2 linked regions of the Tamandua tetradactyla genome follow. The protein of the gene in region 1 purifies or fractionates together with the protein of each later gene. This does not show direct contact. Links are inferred from orthologs where the notes say so. Each region holds a gene or a part of one and is shown in the gene's direction. Other genes may lie near its edges.

Region 1 (10,774 bases):
GGGGGTGGGGGAGGCAACTGACTTGTCCTCCTCCCCTGCTCCCTTCAGTACATGGGCTGCGTGGAGGTCCTGCAGTCGATGCGCGCCCTGGACTTCAACACCCGGACTCAGGTCACCAGGTGAGTCGGGAGGGGCCAGGTGACCGGAACCCTGGGCCAGGGAGGCTGTGGGAAAGTGCGGGAGGGGACAGGTCACTTGGTGGGAGTGCTCAAGGTGGCTCATCGTTGGGTGGTGAAGGGCATTGAGAGAAAGTTAGGGGGTAAGCCTCAATCTGAATCCAGAGGGGAGACTCCGGTCTGGATCCTCCTTACCTGTCCAGCCTGAGTTGTGAGGGAGGTGACAGAGGCAGAGTTTAAGCTGGGGGGGGGACATGGGGTAGATGAAAGGTGCTGCTGCCTTTGGGAAGGGAACGGGACATTTGGTGGCTGGGAGGGGTGGGGCCGTGCCCATTGAGGGCCTAACCCAGTCAGCCAGGAGGTGGCCGCTCACTGTCATCAAATATTAAAGGCCCTTAATTCAATCTGCCACGACAAAGAGCCTGGAGTACCCTGGGCGTCTGGCGTGGCCTTCCCCTCCCCCAGCCCTCGGGCAGCCCCAGTCAAGCGGGAGGCAGGCCCTGGGCCTGAGGACCCCTCTTTCCCCAGGGAAGCCATCAGCCTGGTGTGTGAGGCTGTGCCGGGTGCGAAGGGGGCGACAAGGCGGAGAAAGGTACCCGATGGCGCTAGGGATGCTCCTGGGAAGTGTGGAGGGGTAGGGGGAAGGCAGGTGTGGGGCTTGTGGAGAGGAGACCAAAAGGCAGGAGTGTGGTTTCCTGGTCTTGGGAATCCTCAGCTTCTGAAATCTCTGGGCCTTTCCTCAGCCCTGTAGCCGCCCGCTCAGTTCCATCCTGGGCAGGAGTAACCTGAAGTTTGCCGGCATGCCAATCACTCTCACCATCTCCACCAGCAGCCTCAACCTCATGGCTGCAGACTGCAAGCAGGTTGGTGGTGGGTGAGGGCAGGGGGACCCCTTCTGATGGGAGCGCTAAGGGGGGATCTGGTTAGGAGTGAGGGCTTGGGAACAGAGAGACAGTAAAGAATGAGGAAGTTTTGCAGACATAGGTAAGAAGCTAAGAGGATGAAACTGGGACTCCAGAGTTCTGACCCGGGGGGTGGGTGGGGGGTTGTGGGCACCCAGATGGGCCCTGAGGTCGCCTGCCATACCTCGTTCCCTTCCTTCTCCGTCTCCTGCCCCGGCCCTCAGATCATCGCCAACCACCACATGCAGTCCATCTCGTTTGCGTCCGGCGGGGACCCGGTGAGTTGGGGGTCGAGTGAAGATGCTGGGAGACAAATAAGGGGCTGGGCATTGGGAGGACCCTGGCAAGAGAACTGGGGGTGCTAGGATTGAGGAGATATCTGGAAAGGACCAGGTTTTAGGGGTCAAGAGTGAGGTAGGGGCATCAGGTTTTGCTCACTGGCCCTTCTGACCCTCCTCTGCAGGACACAGCTGAGTATGTCGCCTACGTTGCCAAAGACCCCGTGAATCAGCGAGGTGAGGCGCAGCGGGGGCACTGGGGGCCGGCGGGCAGGGCCGGGCTGGGGCGTCATCATTCCCTGCCTGAGCGAGTGGAGCTGAGTGGGGACTCCTGCCGAGGGGGCGCGGGCCTCTGTCCTCCCCTCCTCCTGGCAGCCCCTGCCTCAGAGCTCACGGACAGCGTCTCCTGTGCCCTCAGCCTGCCACATCCTGGAGTGTCCTGAAGGGCTTGCCCAGGACGTCATCAGCACCATTGGCCAGGCCTTCGAGCTGCGCTTTAAACAGTACCTCAGGAACCCACCCAGACTCGTCACCCCTCATGACAGGTGAGTGCGAGAACGGGGTGGGGGCCACTCTGGGGCTCCAGAAACTGAGCTGGGAAAGTCGTTCAGGGAAGGAAATAACCCATGTGCCCCTGCTTCCCACTTCCTGCTATTCTTCAGTTTCCTGTGGCCCGTCAGGAAAGGCTTTTGAGGCCCTGCCTGGTGCAGAGCCTGTTCTTATGTGTGCCCTCTCTGGAACCGTTTTCTAGGACCTCCAGGCTGCACAGCCTTCCCTGGCTAGGTGGGCTCTTCTAGTCCAAGCCTCTTTGTTTCTGGTTCTTCTCTCTTTTTTGCCCATTTTCCCATCCTTTGTTTTGCCTTTTCCTGCCCCTAAAAGCTGTCAAGAATAAGGGTGAAGGAAGATTTCTATTTTTCCCCCACTTTTCCCACCGCGGGCCTTGAGGGCTAAGCAATAGGACCAGAAGCTATTGAGTCTTTAGAGAAGGTTACAAGATTCTGAGCCCCTCCCCGCTATTTGGTGCTTCGCTTTCCCCTTGGGAGATGGCACAGTAATAGGGCATGTGTTTTAAATTCAAAGTTATATTTAAGTCTCAGGTTTTAGTTGTTTGACCTTGAGCAAATCCTTTCACCTCTCTGAGCCTCATTTTCCTTATGTGTAAAATTATAGAAAGAAAAATAACCCCGTCTTCAGGGTTGTGGGGAGGATGAAATGATTGTGCACGTAAAACTCCAGCCTTGGGTTTAACAAGTGCTGAGTGCCCAGTACGTGGCCCCTGTCCTGTTCCTGCCCATTCATTGCCCGCCCCCCCCCCACCCCCTCCTCGTTCATGCCCTCGCCCCTCACTCTGGCCTGCTTCTCAGGATGGCTGGCTTCGATGGCTCAGCTTGGGATGAGGAAGAAGAAGAGCCACCTGATCACCAGTACTATAATGACTTCCCGGGGAAGGAGCCCCCTCTTGGGGGCGTGGTAGACGTGAGGCTTCGGGAGGGAGCCACGCTGGGCGCTGCTCGACCAGCTCCACCCAGTGCCCAGACCCCCAGCCATCTGGGGGCCACGCTGGTAGGTTGCTTGGATGGCGGTGGGCGGGGCCCTGGGCGGGAGGGTCCCTGCTCTTATCTGATTTTTGTCCCTGCAGCCAGTGGGGCAGCCTGCGGGGGGAGACCCAGAAGTCCGCAAGCAGATGCCACCTCTGCCACCCTGCCCAGGTCTGAAGGGAGCTGAGGTGGGCGGAGCTGGGGCACAGGGGGCAGGGCTAGGCTCACTGTAAAGTTTCCCTGTCTTCAGCAGGCAGAGAGCTCTTTGATGACCCCTCCTATGTCAATGTACAGAACCTAGACAAGGCTCGGCAAGCAGGGGGCGGGGCCGGGCCCCTCAATCCTGCCATCAATGGCAGCACACCCCGTGACCTCTTTGACATGAGTGAGTGCTCCTCTTTCCTTTCTGCATCCCCATTTCCTTCTTGGTTCGTCCATCTGCCGTTTCCTTCCTGGCCTTCTCCTAAGTTCTGGGTCCTGGGTGAGGAGCGTATAGGCTGCCTCTCCTACCCTCTCTCTGCACCCTCAGAGCCGTTTGAAGATGCCCTTCGGGTGCCTCCACCTCCCCAGACGTTGTCCATGGCCGAGCAGCTCCGCGGGGAGCCCTGGTTCCACGGGAAGCTGAGCCGGCGGGAAGCTGAGGCGCTGCTGCAGCTCAATGGGGACTTCCTGGTGCGGGAGAGCACGACTACCCCTGGCCAGTATGTGCTCACCGGGCTGCAGAGTGGGCAGCCCAAGCACCTGCTGCTGGTGGACCCTGAGGGGGTGGTGAGTGTGGCAGAGGTGGGGGGAGAGGGGTTGCAGAAAGAAAGATACAGTACTCTGCAGTGCAGCTCTGTTCCTTTATGCATTGCTTCCTAGACTTTCCCATCCGGGAAGCTCTGTACGGGTCTCCCCTGCTCTTAAAAGGTGCCTTGGTGACCCTTCTCCAGAGATTTAGCGTTCCCAGTTTTCTCCTCCCTAAAACTAAGCTGTATTCCTTCCAGCCCTGGCTAATCCTCAAATCCCTGAACCTAAAGCCCATCAGAGCTAGAAGGGGGCCTGAGTGCTCATCTCATCTGGGCCCCTCTTTTGACAGATGAGACCATTCTGGAGTTGTACTTGGTGGGCAGATGATTAGAGGCCAGACCCCTCATCCCTTACAAGTGGAGCCAGGGCCCTCCCCAGCTTCCCTAGACTCTGGACTCAGGGCAGTGCCCTTTTTCCTATCTGTACTGCCCCGGCTTCCCCTCACAATTTTATTCTCTCTGTTATAGCAATCTCAGCCTCCCTTACACATCCTTTTTTGCACGGTGTATCTTCTCGAGACAGGCCAGCTTCCTCCAGGGCAAGGATGGAGTAGCTATCCCTCAGTTTCACGGTTCCTGGGCTGGCATCCCTTCTGCCTTTCCCCAGTTCACTGCCCTGCCCATTCCCATGCCTTGTCGAGCCCCTTTCTAGAGAGGCCTCACTTATCAGGACTGACAGCTCCCCAAGTGCTACCTCCCCACCTCCCCACCCCCATGCCATTTTTTTTCCCCTTTTTCAACCCTCTTGAATATTCCAGCTCCCTTGACCTTGGAGGCTGAGGTCCTCTTATGACACTCTACCTGAATTGTCCCTCTCTTTTCGGACCTTCCCAGGTTCGAACAAAGGATCACCGCTTTGAGAGCGTCAGTCACCTCATCAGCTACCACATGGACAATCACTTGCCCATCATCTCTGCAGGCAGCGAACTCTGCCTCCAGCAGCCTGTGGAGCGGAAACTGTGATCCTTCCCAGTGCCCTCTCCCAGGAGACACCCTCTGGCCCCATCCACTTTATTCCCTGGCTCTCAGGAGTGTTCTGAGGGCTGGATCTTGTGTTGGAGCTGGGAGTGGTGTGGACACGTGGTTCGGCATCCGGCTGAGTGAGAGGGTTTGAGTCATGAGATTGGGGTGGAATCTTGCTTCTCCTCAAACCTCACCAAAGCGTTAATGTACAGAGTGGCTCCCTTCCCTGGGCCTTGTCTGTGCCAACCTGATACCCTCTTCGCCAAGAAGGTGGATTCTTGAGGCCTGGACAGTGCCTCAAGAACGTTCTGTGGTGATAGGCCCAGTGAAGCAATCACCCTTCCAGGGAAGAGGGAATGAATCACAACTTGGGTCTACCCCTAGGCTCAGGATATGCCCCAGGCCCCTCCCAAACCCCCTCCCTCCCCCCAGTGTTGAAACTTTGTGCCTTTGACCATCTCCTAGGTCTGAATATATTTTATGCAAAGAGTTCTTCTTGGGCCCCTGAGGTCAAGGACAGGGGTCCTGACACGTTGGCTTTTGAGACCCTCTCCTGTCTTTGTTCAGCACCTCCTCCAGTTTAGGTTGGGAGAACAGAGGAGGAGTGCCACCTGCCCCCTTTCCATGGGGGATGTATACCCTTAGAGACTGCCCCAGAGCCCCCCTCCCGGCCAGGGGGGAGATGGACTCCTCCCTCCCTCAGTGCCTCCTGGCCGGGGCCCCTCACAGAAGGGGTCTGTATATGACTTTGTAAGCCCCACCCCACCATGTCGCATGCATGTTATACTCTACAGCCAAAGTGCAACCGTTCCCCCTGTAGCCTCTGCCCTGCCTCCGTGGCTGGGGTGGTGCTGGGGGGCAGGGCTGAATTTGGGCCTCCTGTAAAATTAACTCTCCCAAGAGAGTTTTACAGAGCAGGGAACAGGGCCTTTGAGACTCTAAAGCAGTAGACAATCCCTAATATCATTTCTAGATGTGGAACTGCTTTTATTTTTTATTTTATATACATGTATTTTAAGGCTGTAGATTTATTTTTTAATTTTGTTTTCTATGGCTTGTTCTTGGAGCACAAAATGATAATTGATTACGTTTATACATCACTTCTTTGACTTTTCAAAGCCCTTTTACAATTATTGGCATTTTCCTCACCCTATCCCGTGAGGGAATTGGGATCGGCAGCATTAATTTTTTTTACAGGAGCGATCCGAGGCAGAGAGGGGTAGGGCTAGAAAAACGGAGCCTCTTACATCGAGGCTGGGAGGTAGAAGTATGGCTGAAAAAGGTTTCACGAGGGGAGCATTAAAACCTGTGTTGATTTATTGAGCACCTTTTACTTTTGGCGCTGCACTAAGCCTGGCCACCGAGACGGAGAAGACGGCCCTGCCCCTTCTCTTAGGCCTCGTGCATACGGGAGAGTTGACTTTTAATTCTCGCCTCCTTTTCGTGTGTGGATGTTTTCACGGGTTTCACTTATACCAAAGGGAAATAATCCTCATTAAAGTTCGTATTTCTTCTAGCCGGGCCTGTCTCTCGGTCACTCCGCAGGTCCATTGTTCGCCGCGGTGGGCGGGGAGGAGGGAGTGGGGGGGCTCAGGGCAGCCCCGGGGCGGGGCGCGGCGGGACCCCCGGGCCCTGCACGACCCTTCGCCGCCCGCGGGACCGGGGCTTCGAGCGCGGGGCGCGGGGCAGGCGCGGCAGGGTGTGGCGCGCGGGCCCCACGATCCGCCGCGGGTTCCTCGCGGGGACCGCCTCGCGCCGCGGGCTGGGCCGGAGCGGCCAGAGGGCCTGTCGGCGCCGCGAGGCCGGACCCCCGGGAAGCCCGGGCCGCCCCGGCGCGCGCCTCCTCCGCGGCGGCCCGGAATGGTACGGTCCGGCGGCAGCGCGCCCCCAGGCCAGGTGGCACGGGCCGCCCCAGCGGCTGAGACGCCGCCCCCGCAGGCTCGCCCGCAGGCTCGGCTCTCCCCGCGCCGCCGCCGGCAGCTCCCAGCCGCGTCCTGCCCAGAGCCGGGTCCCCCTGCTCGCCGGGCTCAGTGGTGGCGGCCACGCCGAGTTCCGCTTCCTGTTGCTGCGGCCGCGGGCGGGCGGAGAGAAGAGCGGGCGCGCGATTTGCGCTCCGCGCCGCATCTGCTCCTAGCCGCGCCCCGAGGTCGCTGCAGTGCGGGGGCCTGCACTGCCCCTGGCTCTCCTTCTGGGCGATGGTGCAGCCCGAGGGCGCCTCCATCTCCCGCCGCCGCTGACCCCGGTCTCCCACCCCATGGCCGCCTCGGCGCCGCCCCCACCGGACAAGCTGGAGGGAGGTGGCGGCCCCGCACCGCCCCCTGCGCCGCCCAGCACCGGGAGGAAGCAGGGCAAGGCCGGTGAGATCTCTGGGAGGGGCGGGGGGCGCGGAGGGGCCCTAGGAGGCTCGGAAGAGGGTAGGTGGGCGAAGACCTTCAGGGACTGGGGGCACGTGTCACAGACCCAGGGCCCTGGGGTTTTAAGGGACATGGAATTCAGGAGTCACTTGGAGTTTGACGGTATCAAGAGATGGACTCTCCTTCATTTAAGGGAAAAGGTGGCCTAGTATATACCCATGCTCACAATTCATTTTTCACATCACACCCTATGATGTTATGAAGTAAATTAGCAAGTGTATAATGAAGTTACAGGAGTTGCTCAGGGGATGGTTGGGAGAAAAGAAGTTGGGGAAACCTGTGTCTACCGTTTGCTGCTCTTCCAGGTCTGCAAATGAAGAGCCCAGAAAAAAAGCGAAGGAAGTCAAATACTCAGGTGAGTGGTGGCTGGTGGTGGGGGTAATTCCTAGCAGTTCCTTGGGACCCTCTAATCTACCACTTCCATATGTATCTGGATCTTGTATCAGGTACAGAGAGAAGGGAAAGCTGTCATTTTTACTATTTGTGGACCTTTCCCTCAGCATCATAACAAACCGGGAGAAATACCCACCCTTGAGAGGTGATATGGCCAAAGACCCCATTAGGCAGGGTCAGTTCGCCCCACCTGCTCTTCCTGTCCTGGGTCCCTCATGATCATGGCACTTTCCACTTACTGGACTTTCTCTAAGTGCCAGGGATTGTGCTAAGTGTTGTACAGGTTGGGAGATAGATATTGTTTTTATTTTACCTGTTTTTTAAAATCCTTGTTTAGTATGCTGGGGTCTTTTTTGTTCTGTTTTTGCCTTTTTGTGTGTGTGTGTGCTAGGGTTTTGAAACATTTCAGGGTCAGAGTTGGGATTTTAGCCTAATCTCTGCCTGCTTTCAAAAAAAGCACAATGACTGCACTATGCTGTTTGCTTTCTACCCTCTGTTCCTCTGTTATGTTCTAAGGTCCATCTTCATCTAAGATCTGAGCTGGCTTGTACCACCCTCAAAAACATATATTGTGTTTTTAGTGCTCTCCTCCCGGTTTAACTCGGCGTCTTCCTTCGTGACTTTCTCCCTCGTCTGGTCCCCCCCAGGGCCCTGCGTACTCACATCTGACGGAGTTTGCGCCACCTCCAACTCCCATGGTGGATCACCTGGTCGCATCCAACCCTTTTGAGGATGACTTCGGAGCTCCTAAGGTGGGGGGCACAGCCCCTCCATTCCTTGGCAGTCCTGTGCCCTTTGGAGGCTTCCGTGTACAGGGGGGCATGGCAGGCCAGGTACCTCCAGGCTATGGTACTGGGGGTGGAGGGGGTCCCCAGCCTCTTCGTCGACAGCCTCCCCCTTTTCCTCCCAACCCTATGGGCCCTGCTTTCAACATGCCCCCTCAGGGCCCTGGCTACCCACCCCAAGGCAACATGAACTTTCCCAGCCAACCCTTCAGCCAGCCTCTGGGTCAAAACTTCAGCCCTCCTGGTGGGCAGATGATGCCTGGCCCAGTGGGGGGATTTGGCCCCATGATCTCACCCACCATGGGACAACCTCCCAGAGGGGAGCTGGGCCCCCCTTCGCTCCCTCAACGCTTTGCCCAGCCAGGTGCACCTTTTGGCCCCTCTCCTCTCCAGAGACCTGGTCAGGGGCTCCCCAGCCTACCCCCCAACACAAGTCCTTTCCCAGGCCCGGATCCTGGCTTTCCTGGCCCTGGTGGTGAGGATGGGGGGAAGCCCCTCAATCCACCTGCTGCCACTGCTTTTCCCCAGGAGCCCCACTCAGGCTCCCCGGCTGCTGCTGTTAATGGGAATCAGCCCAGTTTTCCTCCAAACAGCAGTGGGCGGGGTGGGGGCACCCCGGATGCTAACAGCTTGGCACCTCCTGGCAAGACAGGTGGGGGCTCAGGGCCTCAGCCTCCCCCAGGCCTGGTGTACCCATGTGGTGCCTGTCGGAGTGAGGTGAACGACGACCAAGATGCCATTCTGTGTGAGGCCTCTTGCCAGAAGTGGTTCCACCGCGAGTGCACAGGCATGACTGAGAGCGCCTATGGGCTGCTGACCACTGAGGCCTCTGCTGTCTGGGCCTGTGATCTCTGCCTCAAGACCAAGGAGATCCAGTCCGTCTATATCCGCGAGGGCATGGGGCAGCTGGTGGCTGCCAACGATGGGTGACACTGGTGAAGGGCCCAAGGAAGTGCTCTTCCAGGGTGAATGTTTCCATGCCTGGCTCTTGGTCCTTGTTTCCACTGGCTTCCTATCCTCATGGGGCAGAAACACAGTGGCTCCAGGGGGGAGAAAAGGAACTAAGGTGGGCAGGCAGAAGAGGGTCTGGACTGCTCACTTTTCTGGAAACTTGCACATTGAGATCTGTAGAGGTCCAGGAAACCAAAGCCTTGCTGAGCAGAGCCATTTTTTGGGTGGCAATCTCTGGAGGCCTAGGGGTATGGCGGCAAGAGAAAAGGGGCTGGAGGAAGATCTGGAGAGCAAGGGGGTTCCCTCTGCTGGATGCCCTCTAACACCTGTGCCTAATACCCCTATCTAGCTTCACAGCTCCAGCCTTACTCTTTGGAGTCGAGTGTTAAAGGTTTCTGACCAGAGGAGTTCGGATCTCTTCCCATCCGTAGTAGCCCTGTGATGGGCTCTGGGAGACAGCTTTAGGGAATAAGTGGGGATTTTCTCCTCTTTCCACCCTCCCTTTACCTCCTCGAAGTCCTACCCAACTCCTCCCCCCTCAAAGAACCAAATAGCTTGAAGAGGCAGGAGAGTTTTTGGCTATGGCAGTTTCTTGGTGATTTGGGGTTTCAAGACAGTAGGTAAGAGATGCTGTCAGGAGATATCTCCCTCATACCAAAGTCACTGGTTCTTTGTCCACCTCCCTTGTGCTTTTCTCCTAATGAACATATTTTTGCCAAAAATTGGGATATGTGGTCTGACAGACCAGAGCGTCTGAGGTGTGGACTGTCCCCGAAGTCTGGATTCTGTGGTTGTATAACTCTCCCCTGACTCATCCATCTTGCACATTATCCTTTGGGCCTTCAGCCTTTGGCACCCTTATTTCCCTGCCTCCCTGCTCGACCGACCGAAGGAAAGCTTGGAAAGGGTCAGAGCCCTTATACCTCATTTCCTCTCCTGATAACAGATCCAAGTAAGGCCCTAAAGGGTGTGAAGGGGAGGCTGTGAGATCCTCGTTGGCGGTGTTACTAAAAGGTTGAAGAGCCTGGATGCTTTCTGCTTCTCTTCCCCTGCCAGGTTTTCATATTTTGGGGTGGGGGGCTAGTGATCTAGCAGTTTTATTCTTTTCAGCCGAAGTCCTGCACTGGGCTTTATTTGTTGTTATTTTATTTTTTAAGTACTGCCTGCCAGGGATGGCTGGGGGCCTGACCCGGAACCCTCACAGCTGCTGTGTTTTCCTTACAGCCCTTGTAAACATTCCTCACTGGGGTAGGGAAGGGCAGGCAGGGGATGTGGCCCTCTTGGGAGAAGTTAGTGATCCCTTTCCATGAGGTGTGGTGGCAGAGGCCCTTCTGTGGTCCCCTGCTCAATTCTCTCAGTTCCCTAGCACGTGGAGAGAAGACACAGGGTATACTGTATAATCGGTGGGGCCGACATCCTTTGAGGCAATGAGAAAAGAGCAGCCCCCTAGTGCTCAGCTTTGTGTTGTGTATGTACTTCTGTTTGCCCCTTTTAGCTGTTGCTATTTTTTGTGTGGTCTCCCTTTTCCCCATTTTGTAAAATGGCTTCTGGGGGAGTGTCTTTGCTCAGTTTCCTCCCTCATGCTCCACTACTTGGAAGAAAATGGGGTGGTAGAGATGTGGTGGGGGCGTCTTTTGTACTGTTGG
Region 2 (10,099 bases), on another chromosome or scaffold:
TCACAGCACGCAGCCAGTCGCTCCCCTCGAGCACTGCCAGGGGCCGTCTTAGGAACACACTACCTCCAGCATGCCGTCTTGTCTGTGAAGACCTCGTGTCAGCCCGTTCGGGGCTCAGACTTTCAGACGCTACTGGGCTGAGCCCTAGGGCCGTGGACAAATAAAACCTACTTTCTGAAACCCGCAGCCTCGACCTGGGTTTGTTCTGTTTCTGCGCAATGATCCTGGAGGCTCTTGCAGAGTCTCGTTGCAGGTTTCGTGTTACAGTGTCAGGCGGTGACCGACCTCTGGTTCGGGGTGTCGGCCTTCAGTTTGGACAGCTGACCCTGCGCCAATCCCCGGGTGGGGGTGGGGTGGGGGGACCAGAGACTGGGCACAGTGTGTGATTTACATCTCATTTGCATGTTTTTGTGTTTGGCCCCGCCCCGAGGCCGCGGCTGTACTTCCATGCTGTTGCCTCCCCTGGGGTCCCACAGCTCCCAGGGGTCTCACCGGACACCAGACAACAAATGCATCCATCTATTAAACATGGGGTTGTCGTTAAAACAGCTTTTGAAACTACGGCTGTAATTGTGCATAAGAAATGATGTACACAAAGATAATATCTGGGAATTCTTGAGAAGGAGAAAAACTTAAAGCAACCATTTTTTAAAGACAAAAAGAACATTGTGTTATACTGACAACAGTCAGCCTTCAGAGAGCCAAACGTATTCTGCCCGGAACCTGGCGTGCGTCCTGAAGCCCTCAGAGTGCCAGAGGAGGTGGTTCTGTGACAGTCCCATTTTATAGAAGGGGAATCTGAGGCACAGTGAGACGGCTCTCCTGTGCTCGCCCCACACTCCACCTTTCCTTTCCCGCGTGACAATCAGGAGAGACCCCCCCTCTGCCGGCCGCTCCTCAGCGTCTCAGCACAGTCCCCCCCACCCCACCCCACGAACTCAGCACGGTCCCCACCCCCACCCCCCGGGCTCAGCACAGCACCCACCCCCGTCCGCCCCGGGTCCACACGGTGCTTGCGGCGATTTAGGAGCTCGGTGAGGCTGCACGGGGCGGGGTCATCGAGGTCCTCAGGCTGCAGGAAGCTGCGGTCTGGCAGCTTGGCCACCTCCCGCCAGTTGGCAAAGCAGGCACCACCAGGGGCAGCAGACATTTCACGGCGCCCGCCCCCCACCAGCACTGCCCTTCTTTGGACCCCGCGCCTGCCCAGCATTTTCCCCCAAGCGCACGGCATCCCACGCGCGAAGGTGTTGCTCACTTCTCCTTGGCTTCTGAAATTCAAGGTCAGCTCCACGAGCGGGGTCTGTTTGTTGGCTGGGTGTGCAGCAGCTGCGGCAGGGTGGGGCCCAGGAGCCGCGCTCAGGAGATGTTTGTGGGGTGAATGAATGGATGGATGGATGTTGCTGTAGCCATAGAGAAACACTCCACGGGTAAGGGGATGGAGGTCAGGCAGGGCCTCCTGGAGGAGGCGGCCTCTGAGCTCAGAGTGCCAGGATGAGGCAGGGAGAGGTGGGAGAGCCAGGCCATGGCTACAGAGCTCAGATGGGAGGGAGAAGGTGGGGCCTCAGGCCACTAAGCCGAGCTTGGCTCCGGTTCTTACAGCTGAGGCCTGCGGATGCCCATTGCAGCCCCGGAGACCAAATTCCAACAAATCTGCCGTCTGGAAGGGATCCTGCAGCACCTGCTGGGGCCGCGGCCCTTTCCCAGAGCAGCATTCCACAGCCCGCCACCACAGCACACACCATTCTGGAGAAATCCCACAGGAGCTGGGAGACCAGCTGCAGCGAATATGAATACAGGAGACCCAGTGTGCTGGTTTGAAAGGAAGTATGCCCCCTAAGAAAAGCCATGTTTTAATATAAATCCCATTTCTTAAAGGTAGAATAATCCCTATTCAATACTATATATTTGAAACTGTAATGAGATCATCTCCCTGGTTGAAGTGATTTACTTAAGAATGGTTGTTAAACTAGATTAGGGGATGACATGTCTCCACCCATTTGAGTGGATCTTGATTAGTTTCTGAAGTCCTATAAAAGAGGAAACATTTTGGAGAATGAGAGATTCAGAGAGATTCGGAGAGAGCAGAGGATGCTGCAGCACCACAAAGCAGAGAGTCCACCAGCCAGTGACCTTTGGAGATGAAGAAGGAAAACGCCTCCCGGGGAGCTTCATGAAACTGGAAGCCAGGAGAGAAAGCTAGCAGATGATGCCATATTTGCCATGTGCCCTTCCAGCCGAGAGAGAAACCCTGACTGTGTTCACCATGTGCCTTCTCACTTGAGAGAGAAACCCTGAACTTCATCGGCCTTCTAGAAGCAAGGTATCTTTCCCTGGATGCCTTTGATTGGACTTTTCTATAGACTTGTTTTAATTCTCGGCCTTAGAACTGTAAACTAGCAACTCATTAAATTCCCCTTGTTAAAAGCCATTCTGTTTCTGGTATATTGCATTCCGGCAGCTAGCAAACTAGAACACCCAGGGACAGTCCAATTTCACATAAACAACAAATAATTTTAATGTATGTCCCGTGCAATGGCTGGGACATATTGGTACTAAAACAGTGTGTTTTGTTGAGCTGAAATCCAGGTTTGACTGGATGTCCGGTGCTCTGTCTAGCAATCCTGGGGGGGGGGGGGGCACCCCTCGCTGCCCGATGCTGGTCTGCTGGGGCTTTGGTGAGAGCCGCCCCCCACCCCCACCCCAAATGAGGCCAGCACGGGTCTCGGGCCTGGGAGGGGCCTGCTGCGGGTTTGGGGGAAGATGCAGGGGTGGTGGCTGGGGGGACAGCGAAGGCAGCGAAAAAATAGTGGACAGAGAATGAAGGTCTTCAGGACCTGAAACTTGCCACTGTGTTACAAAGTAAATTGGTAAAATGTCCCTAAGTCTGCAACTAACTGCCCAACAGTTCAGCAAAACTGCAGCGCCGTGGAGGTGAATCTGGCAAAATGTTCCCAGTCGCCGTGCCACTTCTTTGGCCTTTTCTGTACGGCTAAAATGGTCATCGTAAAAAGCCCGGGCAGGGTGGGGTGAGGGACGTGAAAAGGGTCAAGCTTTACTGCACCCACACTAGACCCTGTCTATGGGACGTCTCCTGGCAGGACCCGAGTCCAGCCACCCTGAGGATGCACACCACCGAGTGTGGGCCACTGGGGCTCCCTTGGGAGATCTTGGGGCTCCCCTGGGAGAACTTGGGACCCCCCTGGGAGATCCTGGGGCTCCCTGCCCACGCTGTGCCCTCTGCCTGGAAAGCCCTCCCTCCCGTTCCTTGTTCTTTATCCTCCCATCTCGCCTCTCCTGGGCAACAATAAACAAACCCGTGCCTCCCGAGGAAACCCCCTCCTCCGGGAAGCCTTCCCCAACTGCCCCACCCGCCTCACCTCCTCAGGCCATCCTGGAAGGGCAGGAAGAGCCACTTCTTCAGCATGTCCCTGAGGAACGGGCCCTGCTGCTCCTCCGTGAGGTCCTGGGACGCTAGACCAGGATAGCTGGGCGGCCGCCTCATGTGGAGCTCATCCCTGAGCCCCGGGAAGAAGCCTGAGTGGTGGCGCGAAGGCCTGGCAGTGCGGGCAGAACAGCAGCAGCGGGTGGTCCAGCCGGCGGTGCGGCGCGGCCTCGGTCTCCAGTGCATCGTGCCCAGGGCTGTTGCGGAGAAGGACGCCGCCTGAGAAGATGGCAGCCTTGGCCCTGGGCCCAGCGCGCCCCCGCTCAGCTGCCCTGACCCAGATCCAGGCCCTTGGGAAGCAGCTTCCATAGGTGCCAGGCCTTTCCCCTGGCGCCCAGGGGGCAAAGGTGGTTTCAGCCTGCGGGCGGGGTGCAGCCCACAGGGGAGGACACTGAGCTGCCCAAGGGACGCGGTGCCATGGCAGAGTGGATGCGGGGAGGGCAGTGCAGGGGTGACACTGCACTGTGCCAGGTGTGCCAGCGGCGCTGCATCAATGCACAACGTTAGTGACAGGGAGGGCACTCCTGTCACTAACAGGTTGTAGGTTTATATATTTCCCTATAAACCTACAACTACCCTAAAAACACAAAATTAAAGTTTAAATGCACCTACGTGTGCCTTCAGGAACGCATCCGCCCACCCAGCTCCCAAGGCTGGTGCGTGTGGGCGTCCCGGGTGTGTGCAGTCTCCAGGCCTGATTCCCACGGCTGACTGGGCCCCGGGGCGCCGCACTGAGCCCGTCGAGGTGGGTGGAGGCGCCCCTGGTTTTCCCTCAGCAGCGCAGTCCCCTCAGGGAGCCCATGGGGGCAGATGAAGCCCAGGACACAGCAGAGGCACGTCTGGGCGCCCCCCGGGGTGGGGTTTTGCTAAGGGGACCAGCAGACTGTGGCCAAAGTGTCCATGCAGGAAGCTCATCCCCGCGGCCGCCAGCGCCACTGAACCCGCCAAGCCTGAGCAGAGTGCCTGGGGCCACCTGTCCCACAGGCACAGGGATGCTGTCCCCGAGGGTTCCAGCACTCAGGCTCACACGGGCAACCAGGAAAGAACCGGCCCACGTGGACCCTAAGCCATAAGGAAATCGCAGAGCCACCCGGAGGCTTGGGGGCGGGGGGGCCAAGGGCAGCGCTCCCGCATGCTGGGTGCTCAAGCTCCCCCACCTGATGGGCCCTGTCACGCGTCACCTCGCAGCACTCAGGTCGCCTCCCTGACCTCCCCGAGCTGTGATCACCAAAACCACCTCCAGCCGTGGCCAAGTGTCCCCTGGGGGACACATCACCCCGGAAGACCCTGCTCTAGCTAGCCCTTGCGCCTGCTGCCCCCCCACCCCCCAAATCAGTCTTTGTCCAAACCCCTAGAAGCTGTGAAGGGACCTTCCTTGGAAAGAGGGTCTTTGCAGCGGGGAGAAGAGCAGGAGGCAGCTGAGCCCAATGGGCCCCTTCCTGCCCCTCTCCCATCCCAGGGCCCTAAGTCCAGTGTCTGGTGTTTTCACGGACATGACAGCAGAGGAGCACACTCAGGGGAGACGCAAGGGCGGGGGGCAGTGGGGGGGGGCACCCGGGGCTGGAAGAGGCAAGAGGAGCCCCCCGAGGACCCCGGTGGAGGGGCCCTGCCCCATCTTCATTCCAGGCTCCTGGCCCGGGAAACCGCTGCAGTGAAATCCCCAAGCCGTGAACTTTCCGTCTTATTTCAGTACATGGTTCCTTTTTCCCCTTTGCCAGGAAAGTCCCTGCAGGCCCCTGGGGCACACAGAGGCACAAAGCCTGGAGAGGCACGGCCTGGCTGGCCCGAAGCCTGAGTTCTGCCCTCCAGCCTCTGTTTCCGGTTCTGTAAAACGGGGCAAGCCAGGTTCTCAGTTCCTGCTCCCACATCCTTGGGGACACACGAGTTTCAGAATTGGCCAATACTGCTGCATTCTGTGATGTGGTGGACGACCCCTGGACGCAGCTCGGGCACTGCAGGCCGGGAGGCACCCGGGCAGCGTCCAGCCCCAAGCCTTCTCGGAGCTGTGGGCAGGTTTCAGGAGGCTTATCCTGTGCTGCTCAGAGCAGGCTCGCTCAGCCAGGGGCAGAGGTGGATGAAGGGGAGCAAAAGGAGGGGGAGGCGTGTAGGGAAAGGGTGTAAGGGGGGAGAAAAGGGGTCAGAGAAGAGGAAATGGGTAGAAATGGAAAGAGGAAGGGAGCAGGAGAGGGGTGCAGGGGAAGGGGGAGAAAAGGGGGTACCCCAAGATGGGGAAGAGTAGGTGAAAGAGTAGGACAGGAAGAAAGAGGAAGAAGGGGCGGGAGAGAAGGAGGAGGGGGAAGAGGGGAGAGAATAAGGGTGAGGAGGAGGACACAGGGGTGGCAGTAGGAGCCAGATGGGGGGGGCCAGAGGAGCGACACAGCGGGTGTGAATCCCGACCTTGTGCAAGGAGGGGGCGGACTTCAGTCCTTATCTGTGAAATGGGCGACCACAAGCGGCACCGCAGGACGAGGTTGCAGCTGTCCTTACCGGTCATCGCCTACTCGGCTGACCGTTGGCAGGAAACCCGGGGCCAGGGACTGGCTCCGGGCCCGTCCTCCGGATCTGCCTCCTCGCCCCCTTTCCACCCACCCGAACTGTCCGCGGGGACCAATGGCCGCGTGCGGGGGTGGGGGGCCTGCCCAGCCCTGGCCTCCGAGTGGCGCTGGACACCGGCCCTGGCCTCCTCCCGAAGACAGCGCGGGGAAGGTCGGCCAAGCAAGGCAGAGGACGAGCGGGGGGGCGAGGGTAGGTGGCGTGCGGGCGCCCCGGGGCAGGGGCGGAGCCCGGAGCCCGCAGAAACAAGCCGGGGGCCCGGAGCAGGTCCACGCCCGGGCTGGGTGTCGGGGCCGCAGCTGAGCCTCCTCCCCGGGGTGCCTGCGAGGGAGCGGCCAGCTGAGGGTCAGCGCGGGCGCCAGGTCAGCGGAGGGGGGGCGCCGGCCGGGGTCGGGACTGCAGTTCCGGGGCCCTGGGTGTGCGTGAGGACCCCGGGGCCTGGGCCCCTCGCTGGGCTCCGGGCTTATGACGTAAACTGGCGGGGTCTGCAGGCGGACCCGGGATACACACGTGGCAGCGCTGCGGGGCCCCCACCATCCGGCTCGCGGGCCCCGAGGCCGCCAGGCCTCTGGAGCCGGGATCCAGGCCCGCAGGGCAGGAGTCCAGCGCAGGCGGGTCCTGGGCGGAAACTGGGATATGGGGATCCGAGAGGCCTCGGGCACAGGCCGCGCGCAACCGCGATCACGCCCCGAGGCCACAGGTGTTTCTGGACGCCCCGGGAGGCGCGTTGCCAGGGACACAGCTGCTGGCCTCGACGCCGCTCTAGCCCACGATCTCGTTGGCCGTTGCCATCTGGCGCGGCGCCTCTCTCCGGTCACAGCCTCTGGAGGGGGGCGGGCCTCGGCGGCCGCTCTAGCCCGCAATCTCGTTAGCTATTGCCACTCTGACCTAACGCCTCTATGGTCGCGGCCTCCGGAGAGGGGCGGGTCTCGGAGGAGCGGCTGAGCAGCTCCAGGCCGCGCCCGTCCGGGACAGCCCGGGGCGGGCCTGGGCGCCAGGTGGGCGGAAGGGAGGCCCGAGGCGAAGGTCGGGTGGAACTGGGCCTGGGGGTGCAGGCGAGACCTGAAATTAAGGGCGGGGCGAGGGGCGAGGAGGCAGGTGGAAGCTTGGACGCTAGGGTGAGATCTACGTGCGTGGGCGGGGCCCGGCTTGGAGCCGGAAGAACTGGCCTGGGGGCGGAACCTAGCTTGGGGGCGGGGCCGCGGGTGCAGCTTGGGAGCCGATCCAGCCTCTCGGTCCAACTCTGGCCGAACCGGGGGCCGAGCTGGGCGGGGCTTGGTAAGGGGGCGGGGCTGGTCTTAGGACCAGCCCGGGGCAGGCCGCTGGGGGTCCGGGGGCTGGGCCCGGGGCCTGCCGGGGTCTTGGCGGGGACCAGGGGTAGGCGGGTGGGGGCGGGGCCGGGTCGGGAGGGTCGGAGCCAGAGCCTGGGTCGGAGCCTGGTTGGGCGGGGCGGGGTGGGTCTGGTGGGGCGGGGCGGGGCCTGGCGGGGCGGGGCTCCCTGGCCCACCTGGCGCCTCTGTCTCTGGTCCTTCCAGGATGCGCGCTGCAGGGGCATCCGTGGCCTCGCTGGCCCTCCTGTGGCTGCTGGGGCTCCCGTGGACCTGGAGTCTGGCCGCGGCACTCGGCGTGTACGTGGGCGGCGGCGGCTGGCGTTTCCTGCGCATCGTCTGCAAGACGGCGAGGCGGGACTTTTTGTAAGTGTGATGGGACCACCCCGGGCGGGGATTCTGGGGCTGCGGAGGCCGGTGGCCAAGGGGGCCCGAGCGGGTTGCTGGGCGGCTCGAGGGTCCTGGGAGGCTTCGGTCCCGGGGCGGGACTTGGGTCCTGCATGGGTGACGGCGGGGGTCTCTGAGAGCAGCGTGGGAGGCCGTGTGTTCCAAGGAGACCTCGAGGGGCAGCGAGGCTGGCTTTGCGGGTGCGACCGCGGGTCTTTGGCAGCTGGGGTGGGGAGAGGCCCCTGGAGTTACTTCAGGGTCTCTGCCGCTTTCACAGAGTCCATTTAGTTGCTCTGGCGAGGCGGAGGGGTTGCTTGAGGAGCCCCTGGAGGGCTTTTGTCTCCTCCAAGCTTTTACAGCCCTCCCCAGCCTTTGCACACGTTTAGAACTGGGGACCTGTGTGCGGATGGGGTTGGCTGGGCCTGGGGGGGTGTGTCTTTATTCCAGGGCCTGTTCTGGAGTCGCTGGAGACTGGCTTCTCTGGGGTTCTCCTTGGTGGTGTGTACAGGGTCTCAGGGGGGTTCTCACAGTGGCAGGCTCAGTCATAGCCCCAGTGTGTGGGTACTCACCTTCACAGGTACCCCTGGGCCCATCCCGAGGGTGTGGAAACCGAGGCTCAGGGATGCTTCCATGCAGGTTGACAGCTCTGAACCTTCTAGAACGTGCCTCTTCCTCTCCATGCTCACTGCTCTCTCACTCCATTTGCCCCTGTCCCTCCCCTGGGGTCATTCTGACAGGCAGATCTGTTTTTGCAGCTTCTGTTCCCATGCCTCCATGCACCACAGCCCTGACAGGAGAAGCCTCATTCTCTCAGCTGGACACCTGAGGCCCAGCCCACCTCTGAATGGGCCCCCAACCCCAAGCCAGCGTGTGGTTTCAGGCCCAGACTTGTCGGGACACTCTGGCCCCCTTTTGCTGGGTGGCACCCGCAGGTCTCCTTCCCTGTGTCGGCCCCCACAAGGCCCAGCTCAGGCCCGGCACGCAGTAAGAACACAGGTTCCTCTGCCTCTTGCCCCCACACCTCTCCAGCCCAGCTCTGCCCCTTGGGCCTGTGGTAGCGCGGCCCGGCTCTTGCTGCTGGGCATGTAGCAAACTAACCAACCATTCTGGGGCAGGCGCCCTTGGAGACAGCCTCCAGTGACCCTCCCCTTGTGTGTGGCTGGACCCAGTGACTCACTTCCAGTGGACAGAAGTGATGGGTATTCCCTCTGGGACCTGGTAATAAAAGGCCGTGGACCTTTCTGGGGGCTGCCTCCTGCCCTTTGGCCCTTGCTCTGGGGGAAACTAGCTGCCGTGTTGGAAGCAGCCCTGCACAGAGGGCCCACATGAGAGCTGAGAAGGAGACCCTGCTCAGTAGAGCCCGAGATAGTGGCAGTCCCACGAGAGACCCTGAGCCAGAACCACCCAGCTAAGGCACCCCCAGACTCCTGATCCACAGAAACAAATGGTAAATGCCTCTTGTATCCAGCCAGTTGGTTTTGGGGTTATTTGTTATATAGCAATAGCTAGCTGATACACCTTGTGTAGCCTTCTCTATGTGTCAGCCCCTATTCTAATCCTCTCACAGCTCTGTGAGGAAAGGACACTTGCTAATCCTATTTTAAAGGTAGGTGAACCAAGGTACGGAGAAATGGGGTCATTTGCACAGGGATACCCAGTCAGGCTGGGGACAGGACTCTGGAGCCAGTGCTGATAGCCACCACATTTAGGCTGCACTTAGGCCTGGAGCACAGAAACCGTTGACAGAGAACCTAATTACCCTGTGTCTGCTGCGAGCAGTGTGCACACTTGCCCCTGCCCGTCCCCCCACCTGCAGCCCTGGGGGGGCCAGAAAGAGCAGGATCGGGAAGAGTGTGGGTGGGGCCTGGGGCTGGACACGGGCTTCTTTGTTGGTGGGGTGGGGATGGCTGGGCGCTGCTGCCAGGGGGGGCTGCCAGGAATGCGGCTGGCACCGTGCCCATGGCCTACCTGCGCTTGGAGAGCAGCGCCGCGGAAGCCATCCGCGGGCTTGCCCTGAGCATGGTCAGCTGCCCTCGGTTCCTGTTTCCTGGGTCCGTGGACAGGGCCTGTGTCCTTGGTTTTGGGGGCCGGCTGATGGCCGGGACATGACCGCCTCCCAGAGCTCTTGGGCACTGTCCCACTCACTCACAGAGCCTTTAGGGCAGGGGTGGGCGGCCATGCCTGCTGGGGACCCATTGAGCTCCCCTCCCTGGCCTGAGAGCCTGGCACAGTGGTGGGCAGAGGGGCCTCGGTGCTGTGTGACCCGCGCTCACCATCCCACCCACTAGGCCTTGGGGCCCTCTCTTGAGGTGGCTGTGAGGCTAGCGCTGCATGGCGCAGTGTCACCACCTTCACTCAGCGGGGGCCTGGATGGTGACCCCCTGCTCGT

The links. Proteins that work in one complex are often made in the same cells at the same time.
Region 2: the proteins of PBXIP1 (region 1) and SLC27A1 purify together in Homo sapiens (co-immunoprecipitation; 3 studies listed by BioGRID and IntAct, with this or other methods). This does not show direct contact. The link is inferred for Tamandua tetradactyla from reciprocal best matches to the Homo sapiens genes PBXIP1 and SLC27A1.

The regions. Positions count from the first base shown.
Region 1 is NC_135330.1:7,949,856-7,960,629, reverse strand, and holds the start of PBXIP1 (pre-B-cell leukemia transcription factor-interacting protein 1), read left to right. Parts: upstream 1-6,668; 5' UTR 6,669-6,839; coding exon 6,840-6,942; intron 6,943-7,304; coding exon 7,305-7,354; intron 7,355-8,039; coding exon 8,040-8,144; intron 8,145-10,774. Other genes in the region: SHC1 (SHC-transforming protein 1), read left to right, coding at 49-119, 645-708, 860-979, 1,243-1,296, 1,482-1,533, 1,715-1,841, 2,661-2,859, 2,936-3,005 and 3 more. UniProt on the Homo sapiens protein: Regulator of pre-B-cell leukemia transcription factors (BPXs) function. Inhibits the binding of PBX1-HOX complex to DNA and blocks the transcriptional activity of E2A-PBX1.
Region 2 is NC_135337.1:96,592,911-96,603,009, reverse strand, and holds the start of SLC27A1 (long-chain fatty acid transport protein 1), read left to right. Parts: upstream 1-6,054; 5' UTR 6,055-6,148; exon of another isoform or gene 6,149-6,187; intron 6,188-6,247; exon of another isoform or gene 6,248-6,357; intron 6,358-6,914; exon of another isoform or gene 6,915-6,993; intron 6,994-7,095; exon of another isoform or gene 7,096-7,273; intron 7,274-7,311; exon of another isoform or gene 7,312-7,372; intron 7,373-7,530; 5' UTR 7,531-7,531; coding exon 7,532-7,689; intron 7,690-10,099. UniProt on the Homo sapiens protein: Mediates the import of long-chain fatty acids (LCFA) into the cell by facilitating their transport at the plasma membrane.